Arabidopsis thaliana: one gene and its partners. The protein of the gene in region 3 purifies or fractionates together with the protein of the main gene of each other region. This does not show direct contact. Each region holds a gene or a part of one and is shown on either strand. Other genes may lie near its edges.

Region 1 (5,401 bases), on a different chromosome or scaffold from region 3:
GACTCCTAACACAGAGTGCATGACCACTGAACTGGTTATGAATGTCGAAAACTTTAGTCTTTGTTTTCAACTTTCAAACTGTCACTTGTCCGGCGAATGTGTATCAATGTAGGCATGAACAACAACTTTTTCTATGGTTTCAAGATGTTTTCTCTCTATATATATATCATTGGTCTCTAAGATATGTCGCTCTCTCCTTTCTTCAAAGAGTTTTACCAAATCTGAACCCTCATAGGCCACACCAATAGTTGTCTCTACTACCTATATATCATTAGTCTCTAAGATATGTCACTCTCTACCTTACTTCAAAGAGTTTTTATTCGCATTTTACTAATACAAGAATTAATGAAATATGATCATCTTATGGATACAACATCACTGCCGGTGTAAAAAGGCAATTACTTTTGTCCGGAAAGATCTAGTCCCTACCATATTTTCTCTTCTTCCTATCCCTTTTCTTCTCTTTTGACTTGTGTTTCTTACTAAGTTTCTTCTTATGCTCCTTTCTCTTTCTATGAGCCCGTTTGTAAACTTCCTCCTCGTCGGAAGAAGAAGAATCTGTCCTACGTCTCAATAAAGGTGATCGCTCTGGCTGAATCACTAGCTTCCGATCTCCTGTATCAGAAGTTCTTGACAATTCCCTCTCAGGAAGACAGGGTAGCGGTTCATCCATCATAGCACCAACAGAACCTCTGCCACGCTTGACCCTATCATAGACCAGAATCACAAGTTTTATCAGCAAAAGCCGATCCCAAATTCGATCATTATTGTAAAGGAAATAATCAGGCAGCATCTGAGTATAATGGAAATACCTTGATTGGAGAAAAGTCTTAACCTCGACATCTCCTAAGCCTTCATCATCATCATCCTCTGATTGCCATCTTTTGCTTCTGCTCCGGCTTGATGATGGTGATAAACTAGTAGTAGTAACATTCTCATCAACTGAAGTACATCTCTTTAAAAAATCCCTCCTATTGTTCTGCTCACTTTGACCATTGCTGCTCTCATCTCTTGATTTTCTTTTGAGCCTTTCACCAAACTCAATCTCTTTACTCCGAAGACTCCACATCTCATTGGTTTCCACAGCTTTGTTTGCTGAATGGAATAAAGAAGAAACAAATAAGAGATAAACTAAAAAAAAACTAGATTTTGTTGGATAGAAGCAAAGTCTGTCAACAAAAGATTATACCTTGCTGAACACCAAGAACTGTAGCAGTGAGAAATCTAGAGTTAGGTCGATGCCTTACATTAGGCTTCTCAAGATATGCTCTGACGCCATCTTTCTCAGCTTGTCTCCTCAATTCTGCTGCTTCTCTTAAAAGAATGGAAGCTATTCGATTTTCAGTTTCCAGATCCATCTACTCCAAGGTAAAACAAAAAAGTATAAGCCTAATCAAGTTATGTGATCAAATCAATCTGGGTAGATCAAACAAAGATGGAGTTGAACTTAATTCGACCACTACAGCTATCTAAATCATTGCTTCTTAATCACAGAACTTCCACTAAAGCTACGTTCTTTCGACAACGAAATCAACGAAGCAAAACAAACAAAATTACGTAAACACACAACAATCGAAAAGGGGATTTTTGGAGAACCCTATTGGTCGAGATTAATTACCACGAAATCGAATTGACTCAGATACAGATATCTAGTAGCAGCTTCACGAAATCGTGCGATTCCTCGGCGTTTTCCAGCAGGCGCAGAGCAAAATCATTGTCCGAGCCAGAGAGAGAAATAAATAAATTGAACTGAATTGGAAAATTCCCAAAAATTTCTAGTAAAACCGAACCGGAACAAACCGGATTAATTTCCTCTCAGACCAAACCGAAGAAGAACCCTAGTTTTATCAGTCTCACCAACTATCTCCCATGGTTCATTTGCTCTGCAAATTTGTCTGAAAAAATCTTTGTGCGAAGCAGGAAAAATGTCGTCGACCCATCAGTTAGTTTCTTCGATGATCTCTTCTTCCTCATCCACTTTCTTAGCCCCTTCAAATTTTAATCTCAGGTGCGTCGTTTTGTTTTCTTTTACTCTCTGTTTGCTACTGATATAATCTAGTGAGGATGAATATGAAATTGGATTCATTTCCAGAAATTAATTGTATGTTATGAATTTACTTGGAAATTTCAATCCTTTGGTTTTTAAGTCGATGTTGGATGGTGTTGTTTGGCCAGAGAACAGTGCATTTGCTTGTGATGATCATTGATTCATTTTTTTATTGGTTTGCTTTCCTTTTTGGCTTCAGAACTCGAAATGCTTGCTTACCCATGGCAAAACGGGTCAATACTTGCAAATGTGTTGCTACGCCGCAAGAGAAGATCGGTAATGTTCCTACTCCATGTTGTTTTTGCTGTAATGATTAGTAACATAGTTAATGATTTATCGTCTTTTAGCTGTTTATCTGTTTCTTACAATACATGATTTTGTTTTCTGTATGTAGAGTATAAGACCAAAGTGTCACGGAATTCAAACATGTCCAAACTTCAGGCTGGATACCTATTCCCGGAGGTTTGTTACCTGTTACTCTCTTGGTACTACTATTTAAGATTTCAAATACCTAAAGGAGTGGCATTTCAAGTTAACATTTTTGAAAGCTTCTAGTGATCTGAAATATTATAACTATCTGTGTAATAAGTTAATATATCCTCATTGATTCTGTATATAATGCTCCTCTCTCTTATTTTTTTGTGTGGATGCAAACAGATTGCAAGAAGAAGGTCTGCACACTTGTTGAAATATCCAGATGCACAAGTTATAAGTCTTGGAATAGGCGACACAACTGAGCCAATTCCTGAAGTGATCACTTCTGCTATGGCAAAGGTACCTCCTTATCTTAACTTAGCTTCATGTGCTCTTTGCCCTTCTCTGGGCTCTAGCATATTTTAAACTGATTTTACTAACACTGCCCTAACATGTATTATTTCGTTCATTTTGACAAAAATGTATAACATATTTTCTGTTTTGGCGTATTTGGATTATTAAACGAGAACTTCTCTGTAATCTAACAATGAAAATTATTCTGGTAGCATAGTTTTTTTGTTTGCTATACTATTCACACAGGCATGTAATCTCTAGAGATTAATCATGTTTTTTTTCTCTGACAGAAAGCTCATGAGTTGTCAACAATAGAGGGATATAGTGGTTATGGTGCTGAACAAGGTGCAAAGGTCAGTGCACCCTTCATTTCCACCTTATTGCGTTGTTATCATTTCTTTATTATCTGCCTTTGCACGTCACTTCAATTTTATTATGGATAGTCTTGAACTGCTGCTAAATTCAAGAGAAGATGGATTTAAACCTGTTTCTTACATGTAAAATCTTAAAGCTTAATCTGTTAAGTTTTTATCCAAACTAACCTTGATTTCACATATGTGAAAAGCCACTGAGAGCTGCTATTGCGAAAACATTCTACGGTGGCCTTGGCATAGGGGATGATGACGTTTTTGTTTCTGATGGAGCTAAATGTGATATCTCACGTCTCCAGGTTTGTTTTATTGCTGACTATTCATCTGTAATTGATACAAGATTAAGAAATATGAACAGCTGTTTCTTGATTCCACTTCTTGCAGGTTATGTTTGGTTCCAATGTTACAATTGCTGTTCAGGATCCTTCATATCCGGTAATTGGGCATATAGAAACCAAATTGCAGTTGTAGTCTTCTCTACTTTTGCTCCATTTTAACGTGGAACTATGCTGTCTCGTTTTTTTTGGATTATACAGGCTTATGTGGACTCCAGTGTTATTATGGGTCAGACTGGGCAATTTAACACTGATGTGCAAAAGTATGGAAACATCGAGTACATGAGATGCACTCCAGAGAATGGCTTCTTTCCCGACTTGTCCACCGTTGGCAGGACAGATATAATTTTCTTCTGTTCCCCAAATAACCCTACGGGTGCTGCTGCCACGAGAGAGCAACTAACGCAGTTAGTTGAGTTTGCAAAGAAGAACGGTTCTATAATAGTGTATGATTCCGCCTATGCAATGTACATGTCTGATGATAACCCACGATCCATCTTCGAAATCCCTGGAGCAGAGGAGGTAATAGACTGATTGATTATAACATTAAAAGGTCCATTTTTCAACATCTTTCTTCATGTGTACAACCGCTTACAGGTCGCTATGGAGACAGCTTCGTTCAGCAAATATGCTGGTTTCACTGGAGTTCGACTTGGTTGGACTGTCATCCCGAAAAAGCTACTCTATTCAGACGGTTTCCCTGTTGCCAAAGACTTCAATCGGATTATCTGCACTTGTTTCAATGGTGCATCTAATATCTCTCAAGCTGGTGCTCTTGCTTGCCTTACACCCGAAGGACTTGAGGTTAGCTTAGCTAAAGAGAGATCTCAAACCAGTTCCCACTAGTTCAGATATGCAAAATGATTTATTTTGTTGTCTTTTGAATCATTGCAGGCAATGCATAAGGTGATTGGATTCTATAAAGAAAACACAAACATAATCATTGACACATTCACATCTCTCGGGTATGATGTATATGGAGGAAAGAATGCGCCTTACGTATGGGTTCACTTCCCGAACCAAAGCTCATGGGATGTGTTTGCTGAGATTCTGGAGAAGACTCATGTGGTTACAACTCCAGGAAGTGGGTTTGGACCAGGGGGTGAAGGGTTCGTTCGTGTCAGTGCCTTTGGTCACAGAGAGAACATCTTAGAGGCATGTCGAAGATTCAAGCAGCTTTACAAATGAAGAACCTTGTTTGTAATCGTTCCTCATCATCATCACCCTCTTTAATGACATGATTTGAGTTAAAATAATGTCGTTTCCATTGTTTTCTGGAATTTGTAGAAGACACTTTTGACACCAGTGTTTCAAGCAATTTGGCAAAGTATTTTAACAACGAAATCAAAGTGCAAATAAGTGAACTAGTGTGGAAAATAAAATATTTAAATTGGACTGAGGAAGAACGTCAAAAAAATATAAAATTGGATTGGTTAAATAAATCTAAAATTGGACCGGGATGGGTGTTTTCGTAATTTAGGCTTGTTGAGCCACCGTGTGGGCAAAAATATCCAAAAACACAACACAAGTGTTGTCTTCTCGCGTCTCTCATCAACGAGAACCAGTTTTTTTGTTGATCCTATCAACAATGACGAAAATAGAGCTTCGAGCTTTGGGGAACACAGGGCTTAAGGTTAGCGCCGTTGGTTTTGGTGCCTCTCCGCTCGGAAGTGTCTTCGGTCCAGTCGCCGAAGATGATGCCGTCGCCACCGTGCGCGAGGCTTTCCGTCTCGGTATCAACTTCTTCGACACCTCCCCGTAAGCACTTCTTCTTCTTTTATATTTTCTAAAGATTACTGATTCTTCAATACTAATTGCTGATTCTCTGAATGTTGAGACTAATTTAATCGTTAAAGTCAAAATTTTTATTGGAAGGTTTC
Region 2 (7,745 bases), on a different chromosome or scaffold from region 3:
TTCACTGCTGAGAGTGAGTTTCTCTATGTACTGTAATGAACTTGGCCGATCGTGTTTTACTAGTTTTTCTCTTGAAAGAAAAATTCGTATTACTGGTACTTGGACTAAAATTTGGTCTCCACACCACTCTCCTCTAATCATTTTACAAACAATTCTATATTTGAGAGAGGATATTATTGAACATGATACAAATTAAATAATATTTTATGAGTACGTATTTGCATCTTGTGAGAAAGAATTAAGTGTTTTCTAAGGGAAATATTAACAATGGGTAAGTGAAAGTAACAGAATGTTTTACCTATAAGGATGTATAATAATATAAAGAGAGAGGAAAAGAAAAAGCCAAATAGACAAAGAAGATATAATTATGATTGGTAGGTTATCTACATGCTGACCAAAGTCACATTTTTACCGGTGGTGCGTCTTTGTGTTGGCGTGATTGATAATTTAACCCGGCCACCACTTGCATCTGCTCCTTAATTTATTTGTAATTGTATGGAAGCATCATCAAATCAACTCCATAAATATAAGATACTTTATAAGCTTTCGTCCATATTAAAATAAACAATTTTTTTTTTTTATAACTTCTTTCTTATTGATATTAGCTTAAAAGATCGTATAAACAAACTTATATACGATCAAACAAACTAAAAAAGAGAGTTCTTTATCAAAAACAAACAAACTAAAAAGAGACGATAAATGAAAGAGATAACAATAGTATGTAATTGTCCTTACATAAAAAAAAAATATGAGCCACGCCAAATCTAAAACGATTTCGTTAAACATATATAGTTCTCGATATTTATCAACAAAGACGATGTAATTCGTAATCTATATACGTACATCTTCTTAACTTTTTTAAAAATATAAAAAGGTGCTTCAGATTCAAGGGACTGAAACTAGTGAGGTTTCTTAAAAGCAGATATATACACTGACCACGTTCAGGTTAATAGTTAGTAGATTTTTAGGTGGATAGTAATATATTGATGGACAATATTTAAATACAGACTATAAAATTTAAGAGACTTGAAGTGTTCCTAAGAGTAAATTTAATTATACATTTTAATCATGGCCTGAAAAACTAAACAAGGAGGGGTAGAATAATTAATCATCTCAGCAGCTTTCCATCTGGACACACCATTCAGCTAAACGACATTGTTTAATCTCTAACCAAACTGGGCTAGACCGAACTGGGTACAAAGATGGGTTAAACTGGGCTAGGCCCAAATTAATCAGAACATAAATTTCGAACGGAGCGACCCATTTCCAAAATAAAAAAATGTTTTTTATATATATATATATATATATATATTTTTTTTTTTTTTAAATCGTTGCATGCAGGTTGGTGGCGATATTTTTTGGTTTTGTCACCAGGTGGTGGTGAAATAAACGACGATCATTGAATATTTTTGGTGTCTTGTATATGTTTGTGTCATTGTGTGTATTTTTTTTTGGTGTGTTGTAACGACGATCATTGATTGTATATGTTTGTCAGAAATTAAGGTTTTTTTAATCAATCAATGCCATGTGAAATTGAGAAACCTTGAAGAAAATTGGATTACATAAAACTAGATACTATAGAGAAGAGGCACATATCAGATTGGTGGATTATAAGTTTGTGAAAATAAAATCATGATTGAACAGATATAATTCACTTGATACAAAAAAAAGCAAAGAATGGATATTCACAAAAAAAAAAAGTTGGATAATTAAGAAAATAGAATATAAAATAAAAATAAAAATCAAACAGCCATCAGTTCTGACGAAAAGAGCCCACCACGGATCTGTCAGATTTATTTCCTTCTTACATATAAAAAAAATCTGAATCGGCTCAGGCTCGTGTAGCCTCACCAACTCCGCTTATAAACTTTCTCTCTTCTGAAAACAGATCTCTCTACTTTGCTTCTTCACTCGACTTGTATCTATCATCCATGGGTATCGATTTATCTGTTTACGATCCAAAATGATTCATGTTTCTTATTTCTTCTTCTCGCCGATGCTGATTTTCCAGCTATTTTTCGTTTTTTTGAAATCTGGTTCTGTATTTTGATTTGCTGTGTGGATCTCTGTTTCTGATGTGTTTTCAGCTTCCGAGAATCCTTTCCGAAGCATATTGAAGGCGTTAGAGAAGCCTGATGGTGGTGAATTCGGTAACTACTACAGCTTACCTGCTTTGAACGATCCCAGGATCGGTGAGTTTCCTTTTATCTCTGATAGATATTATAATATTTTGTTAGAAGACGTTGTTATGATCTCGTTGGTGAGAGTTTTATGAGAGAAATGTTGTGGTGGATGCAGATAAACTACCTTATTCCATTAGGATACTTCTTGAATCGGCCATACGTAACTGTGATGAGTTCCAAGTTAAGAGCAAAGATGTTGAGAAGATTCTTGATTGGGAGAATACTTCTCCCAAGCAGGTTGAGATTCCGTTCAAGCCTGCTCGGGTTCTTCTTCAGGTAGACAATGATTGGTTGCTATACACATTCTTGATGACATAATGATGTTTCTGATTTCCTGAAAATGCTAGAATGTGATATCATTTTTTCTATTTGTTTTTCAGGACTTTACTGGTGTTCCTGCTGTTGTTGATCTTGCTTGCATGAGAGATGCCATGAATAATCTCGGTGGTGATTCTAATAAAATTAATCCGCTGGTTAGTTTCCTCGCTTTTTACTGAGATTGGTTAATGATTTGTGTTCTTTTGGTATGCTATAAGGTTTGATACAAGGCCTTGATAATTGCAGGTCCCTGTAGATCTTGTCATTGATCACTCCGTTCAGGTGGATGTGGCGAGATCAGAGAACGCAGTGCAGGCAAACATGGAGCTTGAGTTCCAGCGTAACAAGGAAAGATTTGCTTTTCTTAAGTGGGGATCCAACGCCTTTCACAACATGCTTGTCGTACCTCCTGGATCTGGAATAGTTCATCAAGTAAGTAGAGGATTCAGGGACAACGGTATTGCTTGGAAACTTAAAGTATTTTTATGCTAAATTCTATAATTTTGCAATTGACAGGTCAACCTAGAATACCTTGCCAGAGTTGTTTTCAACACAAATGGACTTCTTTACCCAGACAGTGTTGTTGGCACAGACTCTCACACCACTATGATTGATGGACTGGGTGTTGCTGGATGGGGAGTTGGCGGTATAGAAGCGGAAGCTACCATGCTTGGTCAGGTAAATCAGATGCTCTTTCGGTCGAGAACTCATAGCTAACTGTCTAACCTCTTTCTGAAACTTTGGTTCTAAACTACATCCTTTCAATAATTCTAATAGACTTTCCATCTCTTTATATGCAGCCAATGAGCATGGTCCTACCCGGTGTTGTGGGTTTCAAGCTAACGGGAAAGTTAAGAGATGGAATGACAGCTACTGATTTGGTCTTAACAGTGACTCAGATGTTGAGGAAACATGGAGTAGTTGGAAAGTTTGTTGAATTCCACGGTACGTTGATAAAAGATTTGATATCATATTTCATATATGTCTCTTATTTACTTACATAGTACCTTACCGAGTTAGGCTAGCTCACATATGCATCGACTGCTTTTTCATACACAGGGGAAGGGATGAGAGAATTGTCTTTAGCTGACCGTGCTACAATTGCCAATATGTCTCCTGAGTACGGTGCGACCATGGGATTCTTCCCAGTCGATCATGTCACTTTGCAGTATCTAAGGTTGACAGGCAGGAGCGATGACACTGTAAGAAAATGCACAAAATGTCACATTTGGGAAAATCTTCATTATTTAGTGTGTTAAAGACTTTCATAATGGTATTGATTTGTGAATTGGATTGCAGGTCTCCATGATAGAGGCGTATTTACGAGCAAACAAGATGTTTGTGGATTACAGTGAGGTAAACCTTGGGCATCCTTAATACTTCATTTCTTATGCCTATTGTCATATATCATATTTGCATAACATATGCTTCACTTGGAACTTGTTGCACATCTCAGCCGGAGAGTAAGACAGTTTATTCCTCATGTCTGGAATTGAATCTCGAGGATGTGGAACCTTGTGTTTCTGGTCCCAAGAGGTACTATTAGTGAATGATTCGACAGAAAATTATCTAGGATCCATTCTACTTACAATGTCTATTCTCTGTGCACAATACAGGCCTCATGATCGTGTTCCTTTGAAGGAAATGAAAGCGGACTGGCATTCTTGCTTGGACAATAGAGTAGGATTCAAGGTTAGTACTCTCCTTTCTGTTGAGAAGATGTGAATGCTTGCAGTCCCGAGAGCTTAATTTGTAGGAAATTATGACACCTCTAGCTATTGTTACTGTAATTTTGAAAGAATGGTACGTATTCGAGTCTTTAAGCGGGTCCAATAAACTAACTTGTACGTTCTGCAACACTTCTGAATTTATAACCTACTTCCATTTTTTCAAAAATAGTGGTTAGTGATACTACTTATCCATGATTTTCCAGGGTTTCGCTGTACCTAAAGAAGCACAGAGTAAGGCTGTAGAGTTCAATTTTAACGGGACCACAGCACAGCTTAGACATGGAGATGTTGTTATAGCAGCAATCACCAGTTGCACAAATACTTCAAACCCTAGTGTAATGCTTGGCGCTGCCTTAGTTGCAAAAAAGGCCTGCGACCTAGGACTGGAGGTTTGACTACTTGTGTGATAGTGATTTAATATCTTTATGTGCAATGGAAATAATAGAAGTGTTTGAAATTTCTCAATTATTAGGTTAAGCCATGGATCAAAACTAGTCTTGCTCCAGGCTCTGGAGTTGTAACAAAGTACTTGGCAAAGAGGTGCTGCAGATACACCGTTGAATGTTTTGTTATTTATTTCCTTATCCTTTGTATTGTGTGGTCCTGAGTTTTCAAGTCTTGCAGTGGCTTGCAGAAGTACTTGAATCAGCTCGGCTTCAGTATCGTTGGTTATGGGTGCACCACATGCATTGGAAACTCGGGGGATATCCATGAAGCTGTGGCTTCAGCAATAGTTGATAATGGTAATTCCTTAAGTAGTTAATGAAGTAATGCTTCTTCACTTGAATTTTCGAAGGTCAAACTAAAAGATTTCTCATATATGTACAAGACTTGGTGGCATCCGCTGTGTTGTCTGGGAACAGAAATTTTGAGGGACGTGTTCACCCGTTAACAAGAGCTAACTATCTAGCTTCCCCACCGCTTGTTGTAGCCTATGCTCTGGCTGGAACTGTATGTTAATGCTAACTCTAAAGCCATTTCACAACATTCAAGCATTCTTGTTATATGAAGCACAGAATCATTCACATGAATATTCTTGTAGGTTGACATTGATTTTGAGACACAGCCCATTGGAACTGGGAAAGATGGAAAACAGATATTTTTCAGGGACATTTGGCCCTCTAACAAAGAAGTTGCTGAGGTAAATATATATGGGCTACTTGTGTAATACGTAAACAATGAGATATTATAAGTGGAGGGGATGCCAAATTCTCTGTTTCGATTTTTCAGGTTGTTCAATCTAGTGTCCTTCCTGATATGTTCAAAGCTACATATGAAGCAATCACCAAAGGAAATTCCATGTGGAATCAGTTATCTGTGGCGTCAGGTACTCTCTATGAGTGGGACCCGAAATCAACTTACATTCACGAGCCGCCTTATTTCAAGGGCATGACCATGTCTCCACCCGGTCCACATGGTGTGAAAGACGCATACTGTTTACTCAATTTTGGAGACAGTATTACCACTGATCACATCTCACCAGCTGGTAGCATCCACAAGGACAGTCCTGCGGCTAAGTACTTGATGGAACGAGGTGTGGATAGAAGAGACTTCAACTCATACGGGAGTCGCCGTGGTAATGATGAGATTATGGCGAGAGGCACTTTTGCAAATATCCGTATTGTCAACAAACACTTGAAAGGAGAAGTTGGTCCCAAAACAGTTCACATTCCCACTGGAGAGAAGCTTTCTGTTTTCGATGCTGCCATGGTATAATCTCACTTTTTTTTTTATCCTTTTGAAAACATCAAATTCAAGCTCTTTGGTCATGAGGTTGGGGTAGGATTACGATAAGCTTTGAATAAGCACTACAGCTCTACTCTTAGCTATAGGTCTACTGTATCTAGCCTAGGACTGAATGTAGTAGATTAGAGCTGTTGTGAGTTGGTTTATAGAACAGTTAGTGAAGGCTGAGGTAATAATAATGTCTCAGCAGATTGTCTTGGGGGTGGAAATTTTGTTGTTTGATTCTCTGATTTGGTCAGTTGGAATTAGAATAGCAGTTCATAGCTTTGTTTTAATCAGATTATTCTCTCCTCGTGCTGTACCAGAAATATAGGAACGAGGGACGCGACACAATCATTTTGGCTGGTGCTGAATACGGTAGTGGAAGTTCTCGTGATTGGGCTGCCAAGGGTCCAATGCTTCTGGTACATTTTCTGTATTTAACAAACACGTTCTTACACTTATTTTATGCGGTTTCTTTAAAAAATTGTGACAACAGGGTGTGAAAGCTGTGATTTCAAAGAGCTTCGAGCGAATTCACCGAAGCAATTTGGTGGGAATGGGAATCATACCTTTGTGCTTCAAGGCGGGAGAAGATGCTGAGACCCTTGGCCTAACGGGTCAGGAGCTTTACACCATTGAGCTCCCAAACAATGTTAGTGAGATCAAACCAGGACAAGATGTAACAGTCGTCACAAACAATGGCAAATCTTTCACATGTACACTCCGATTTGACACAGAGGTAAGTTATCTCTAGATGATATATTTTCGTCTTTTCGTCTTTGAGTTTTTTTTTTAGCTCTAAAACAAAATGAGATGAGATAAGTAAGAGGAATTTGGAATCGACAGGTGGAGTTGGCTTATTTCGATCACGGAGGGATTTTGCAATACGTTATCAGGAACTTGATCAAACAATAAATCTGGTAACACCAGAGACTTGAGTTATATATCCCAAGGTTTGTTGCAATAAAAATGTTTGCAGGGAGGAGGACGAGAATGACTTTAATTTAAACTTTTGCTTTTGTTCTTCTTCGTCTCTTGCTTCGTGCTAGTCAATTGGAAACATTATCACTGTCGAGTCATTTTTTTTCTTTCAAATAAACATGCGAGCTCTTTTTTTGTTGTTGTTGTTCATAAGCATTGTCAATGCTGCATTGATAGAAGTATACTCTACCATTAGAAAATAAACACAAATACACAAAGTAATCTAAAGAGCTAGAGGATGAAAATTATCTTGTGAAGGTTGTACAAAAACATTAAAAAAAATCTGAGATGATCCAAAGGATTGATTATCACATTCGAAGTGATGGTCAGAGATTACCTCTTGGAATGTTGTGTAGAGTTGATGAACTTATGAGAGCGGAACCATTTGGTTGATGCCCACTTGGTTCCTTTGATTACTGGACTCCCACCTAAATCAAACAGACAAATTTTTGAGAAATTTGTTTTACATCTCATGATCTCAAACAAGTTATAATTAAGGGTTTATTACGATTTAAAACAAGTTTAGAGAAAGGCAATGCCTCTTACCATGCTTACTCGAAGGGTCTCGAGACCCGTCGGGTCTCATGCTCCAAAAGAGTAAAGCGTCTCCCTTCTTCGGTCTAACAGAGACTCCTTTTTTACTTTTAATTCCTTTGGCTTCAGGGAAAACTGTTTCGCCGCCTTTATCAACATCCGAGCTAATTAGTCATACGATGAGAAAAGAAAACAAGATTAACTTATGCAAATATTGTAAAATTTTTACATGGCTGATGAGAAAGATTATAAAGGGTTTACATACAGATAC
Region 3 (4,011 bases):
AGTTCACTGTCCTGTCTGATTGAAAATGTGGAACTTATAGAGAATCTGTGTTAAATTATAGAGCCATCATTGTTTTTGATGCAGCGAGCATGTGATGAGTGAGAAAGGATACTCTTCGTTACTATCGTTCACTGTAGCAGACATTAATACAACAATCTCTAAACTTATGGAATTAGGAGCTGAACTCGATGGCTCTATCAAATATGAAGTCCATGGCAAGGTAAAAACGCAACCACTTCCTGCAAATGCTTTAATCTCATTGTCTAACATTTCTTTTGATAAGAATTCAAATCTTTCTTTTTCTTGATAACCAGGTTGCTTCTGTGAGATGTCTTGATGGTCATGTGCTCGGACTCTATGAACCTTCATGAGTTTTCTATTCAGTTCGGATTATGTGGATTTGATTTTGTTTTTTTCGATCCGATTTTGGTTGAATAATGTTTCAAAATTTTGCTAATCGGATGTTTGGTAAGGACTTAGCTCTAAGACAAATGTAAATCTAATATATCCGGCGCAGAAAAGTCGTTAATTGATTGTTCAACTAATCGTCTAGACATTCGATCTATTAAAGACAGGGGAGATATGTTTTACAAATTTAAAAGCAAAGATGTTCAGAAACAAAAACAAAAATCAAGGTGCTGCTGCATTTCTTATTCTGAAATCTGAACAAAATACTCGTGTTAAACAATGTGGTTTGAAATCCCATTTCCAATTGCTCAAAAATAAGCAAGACAAATAGGGCTTTTACAAAAACAGAAAGGGATTTTTCAATGGTTCTTCCTGGCAAGCTTAGTCCATTCAGTATGGTACGCACCAGGACGATCGGTTCTCTCATAAGTGTGAGCTCCAAAGAGATCTCTCTGCGCCTGAACCAGATTCGCCGGCAATCTAGCACGTCTATAAGTATCGAAATACGCAAGACTAGCACACATTCCAGGCGTGCTAATCCCAGCAGAAACAGCCAAACCAACAACTCTTCTCCAAGCAGCTTGTCTCTGAACCATCTCTTTAGCAAACTCAGGATCAACCACAAGACTAGCCAAGTCCGGGTTCCTCTGGTAAGCTTTCTTGATCCTATCCAAGAAAACCGCTCTTATAATACAACCACCTTTCCAAATCCTAGCCAATTCACCAAAATTCAAGTTCCAACTCTTCTCTAAACTCTTAGCTCTAAGCAAATTCATCCCTTGAGCATAACTACAAATCTTGGAAGCATACAAAGCTTGCCTAACATCATCAACCAATCTCTTCTTATCGATTCCACTCGACGCAGAACCAATCTCTTCTTTCAATCCAGCTTCCCTCAACACTTTCGCTGCATTCTCCCTCTCATCTTTCAACCCACTCAAATACCTACAATCCAACGAAGCAGCAATCGTCGGAGCTGCAACAGACAGCTCCGCCGCTTGCTGCACCGTCCATTTCCCAGTACCTTTCATACCAGTCTTATCCAAAATCTTATCAACTAACTCTCCATCACCAAACTCATCCTTAACCCTAAATATATCAGAAGTTATCTCAACCAAGAAACTCTCAAGCTCACCTGAATTCCACTCAGTGAAAATCTCAGCAAGCTCCTCGTTGCTTAATCCACCAACGTTCTTCAACACATCATAAGCTTCAGAGATCAATTGCATATCTCCATACTCAATCCCATTATGAACCATCTTCACGAAATTTCCAGATCCACCTTCTCCGATGTAAGTAACACAAGGTCCATCTTCAACTTGAGCTGCGACTTTCTCCAAAATATCTTTGATGTTATCATAAGCTTGAAATGATCCACCAGGCATTAACGAAGGACCGTTACGAGCTCCTTCTTCGCCGCCGGAGACTCCCATACCTAAATAGAGCAATCCTTTTTGCTCAGCTTCGGAGATCCGTCGCTCTGTGTTCTGATACCATTCGTTTCCACCGTCGATGATGCAATCTCCTGGCTCCATGTATTCGGAGAAGGCGTCGATTGTTTGGTCAACGGGAGCTCCAGCTTTGACGAGGATGATGAGAGATCTAGGCCGTTGGATCGAGAGGACGAAATCGCGGGGAGAGTATTGGCCGGAGACTGGGAGGTTTCCTTCGACGGCGGCTCGATCTAGGGTTTCGTCGACTTTGGAAGTGGTTCGATTGTAGACTGAGATTGGGAAACCTTTCTCGGCGATGTTTAAGGCGAGGTTTTGGCCCATCACGGCGAGTCCGGCGAGACCGATTCGGGATAGTGCGGCGGACTCCATTGGAGATAGAGAGATGAGCTTAGGATTGGTTAGGTAGAGAGAGAAAAATGAGGTAGTGGGAGTGATGAGAGAGAGTGGGTGGAGATATTTATACTGTGAAAATGACGGACTCGTCGATGGAGCCAAGGGACAAACGAAAACGATGATCTCTATGTTTTTCAAAACGGTGTCGTCTCGTCTAGAACTCCATGTTAACAAACGTTGCCGTTTTTGTTTCAAATATGATTCTAATGTTTTTGTTAAATTAAAAATGTTTACAAATCACACTCTAACATAAAAATTTAATCATAGCTTAAGGATTTGCTTGTCGTTATATGCAAATGACTTACGAAAATTCATACAATAACATTCGTTTAATTTTTTTAATATCCAACTAGTGGGCTGTTTGATTTATTAATCTCTAATGATGTTTCATATCTAATATATATTTTGGTTGTAACAACATTTTTTAATACGATCAATATGGTAGTGTCCATGTCGAACTTGGACTCTCTACCTCTTCTTTTTAGTCTCTATAAAAGTTTTTCAATTATTTTACATCAACTTGATACATTAGCCTTTTGACGATGTTGAATGGTCGGACAACTTTCCATCTACGATCTCACCATTCTACTGGATAACCAAGTATCTTTCTTATATGATGATAGGAGACTAAGTGGATCAATTAAACAAGACAGAGTTTATCAATGAGATGGTGTTTATCCTTCATAACACTCGCACATGTAATTACCCTTGTGGCCTTGACAAGAACCACCCATAAAACCTTGTGTCTTACAGGAACTGTAACACATACTTTTCTTCTCCACACCGTTAGGATCTGGGCATCGTCTTCCCGTTGGATTCATACTTTTTGCATCTCTTAACTCTATAATTTTAATAAGAAAAAAAGTTAAGGGGTTCATTTACTAAACCAAGAAAATTAGAAACAATGATTTCTATGAACTATTGTCTATTTGATGTGTAATGTAATGATGAACAATAGAGAGCACATATATAGGCAAAGAACAAAGGAGAAGGAGATTTTGTTAGACGCCATTTTCTTTATTGAAGTTCTTTTTTGTTCCTTCAAACAAATAACACTATAACAGTGTGTGAATTTAGCCAAGAAGGAGGAGACTTTGAACCCATCTAAATAAATAGGCAATTAGGCATATACAGCTAAAAATAAATATGGCTATGTATATCTAAAAAAAAGTATGTGAATTTGACGAAGAAGGATGAGACTTTGACCATCCTGTGACGCTTTCTTTCTTGTAATCAACCATGTGTCACGAAGGAGAAGTTCTAAATCTTAGGTAACAAAAAGTGTGACAAAGTTAGGATAAAAAGTTGACAAGATGATGAGCAACTTACTCTTATCATTATCAATACACCACCAAACCAAACAAATATTTATATCAATTAACAACAAAAGACCAATGCCCATCAACAAATTACACATAATTTAGAAAAAATGGTGACAATAGAAAGAAATGGATAAATGGAGCCACAAACTTTCCTTGGTTATAAAGTTGGAGTCACTCATCAAGCTGCACCAACCTTGCCGAAGAGCGACTTTCGGATCTACACACATTTCAAGAAAAGATCCTTTAGAACAAAACTAAAAATACTTAGGACAAGACAAATGAGGTTTCAAGAGTTTTGAAACCAATAAGAAGGTATAAGCTTAGGAACATGGTACTACAAATTTAAGAGAGCAAATGGGGATTTTAATTTAACCTCTGGAAGTTTATTGCGGAAGGCAACCTCCAACCTCGCATCAAGCGTGTTTTCACACACG

What was found. The genes of interacting proteins can lie anywhere in the genome.
Region 1: the proteins of AT1G64190 (region 3) and AGD2 fractionate together in Arabidopsis thaliana (co-fractionation; one large-scale study listed by BioGRID). This does not show direct contact.
Region 2: the proteins of AT1G64190 (region 3) and ACO1 fractionate together in Arabidopsis thaliana (co-fractionation; one large-scale study listed by BioGRID). This does not show direct contact.

What each region holds. Positions count from the first base shown.
Region 1 is NC_003075.7:16,171,155-16,176,555, reverse strand, and holds AGD2 (Pyridoxal phosphate (PLP)-dependent transferases superfamily protein), read left to right. Parts: upstream 1-1,832; 5' UTR 1,833-1,925; coding exon 1,926-2,008; intron 2,009-2,246; coding exon 2,247-2,323; intron 2,324-2,441; coding exon 2,442-2,509; intron 2,510-2,704; coding exon 2,705-2,821; intron 2,822-3,105; coding exon 3,106-3,168; intron 3,169-3,380; coding exon 3,381-3,485; intron 3,486-3,570; coding exon 3,571-3,621; intron 3,622-3,722; coding exon 3,723-4,043; intron 4,044-4,118; coding exon 4,119-4,325; intron 4,326-4,415; coding exon 4,416-4,709; 3' UTR 4,710-4,875; downstream 4,876-5,401. Other genes in the region: AT4G33700 (CBS domain protein (DUF21)), read left to right, coding at 1-9; AT4G33690 (G patch domain protein), read right to left, coding at 419-707, 813-1,095, 1,190-1,358; AT4G33670 (NAD(P)-linked oxidoreductase superfamily protein), read left to right, coding at 5,110-5,279. UniProt on the Arabidopsis thaliana protein: Required for lysine biosynthesis. Catalyzes the direct conversion of tetrahydrodipicolinate to LL-diaminopimelate, a reaction that requires three enzymes in E.coli. Not active with meso-diaminopimelate, lysine or ornithine as substrates.
Region 2 is NC_003075.7:16,972,136-16,979,880, reverse strand, and holds ACO1 (aconitase 1), read left to right. Parts: upstream 1-1,719; 5' UTR 1,720-1,931; coding exon 1,932-1,935; exon of another isoform or gene 1,936-2,087; coding exon 2,088-2,192; intron 2,193-2,298; coding exon 2,299-2,459; intron 2,460-2,563; coding exon 2,564-2,656; intron 2,657-2,747; coding exon 2,748-2,933; intron 2,934-3,017; coding exon 3,018-3,179; intron 3,180-3,301; coding exon 3,302-3,446; intron 3,447-3,560; coding exon 3,561-3,703; intron 3,704-3,800; coding exon 3,801-3,857; intron 3,858-3,957; coding exon 3,958-4,037; intron 4,038-4,117; coding exon 4,118-4,193; intron 4,194-4,434; coding exon 4,435-4,620; intron 4,621-4,703; coding exon 4,704-4,771; intron 4,772-4,855; coding exon 4,856-4,974; intron 4,975-5,060; coding exon 5,061-5,182; intron 5,183-5,273; coding exon 5,274-5,372; intron 5,373-5,461; coding exon 5,462-5,941; intron 5,942-6,282; coding exon 6,283-6,381; intron 6,382-6,455; coding exon 6,456-6,698; intron 6,699-6,805; and 3 more. Other genes in the region: AT4G35820 (2-oxoglutarate (2OG) and Fe(II)-dependent oxygenase superfamily protein), read right to left, coding at 7,452-7,638, 7,740-7,745. UniProt on the Arabidopsis thaliana protein: Catalyzes the isomerization of citrate to isocitrate via cis-aconitate. Contributes to oxidative stress tolerance. May have a role in respiration.
Region 3 is NC_003070.9:23,824,782-23,828,792, forward strand, and holds AT1G64190 (6-phosphogluconate dehydrogenase family protein), read right to left. Parts: upstream 2,356-4,011; 5' UTR 2,232-2,355; coding exon 768-2,231; 3' UTR 547-767; downstream 1-546. Other genes in the region: AT1G64185 (Lactoylglutathione lyase / glyoxalase I family protein), read left to right, coding at 85-220, 315-371; AT1G64195 (Defensin-like (DEFL) family protein), read right to left, coding at 2,930-3,089, 3,209-3,267; VHA-E3 (vacuolar H+-ATPase subunit E), read right to left, coding at 3,912-4,011. UniProt on the Arabidopsis thaliana protein: Catalyzes the oxidative decarboxylation of 6-phosphogluconate to ribulose 5-phosphate and CO(2), with concomitant reduction of NADP to NADPH.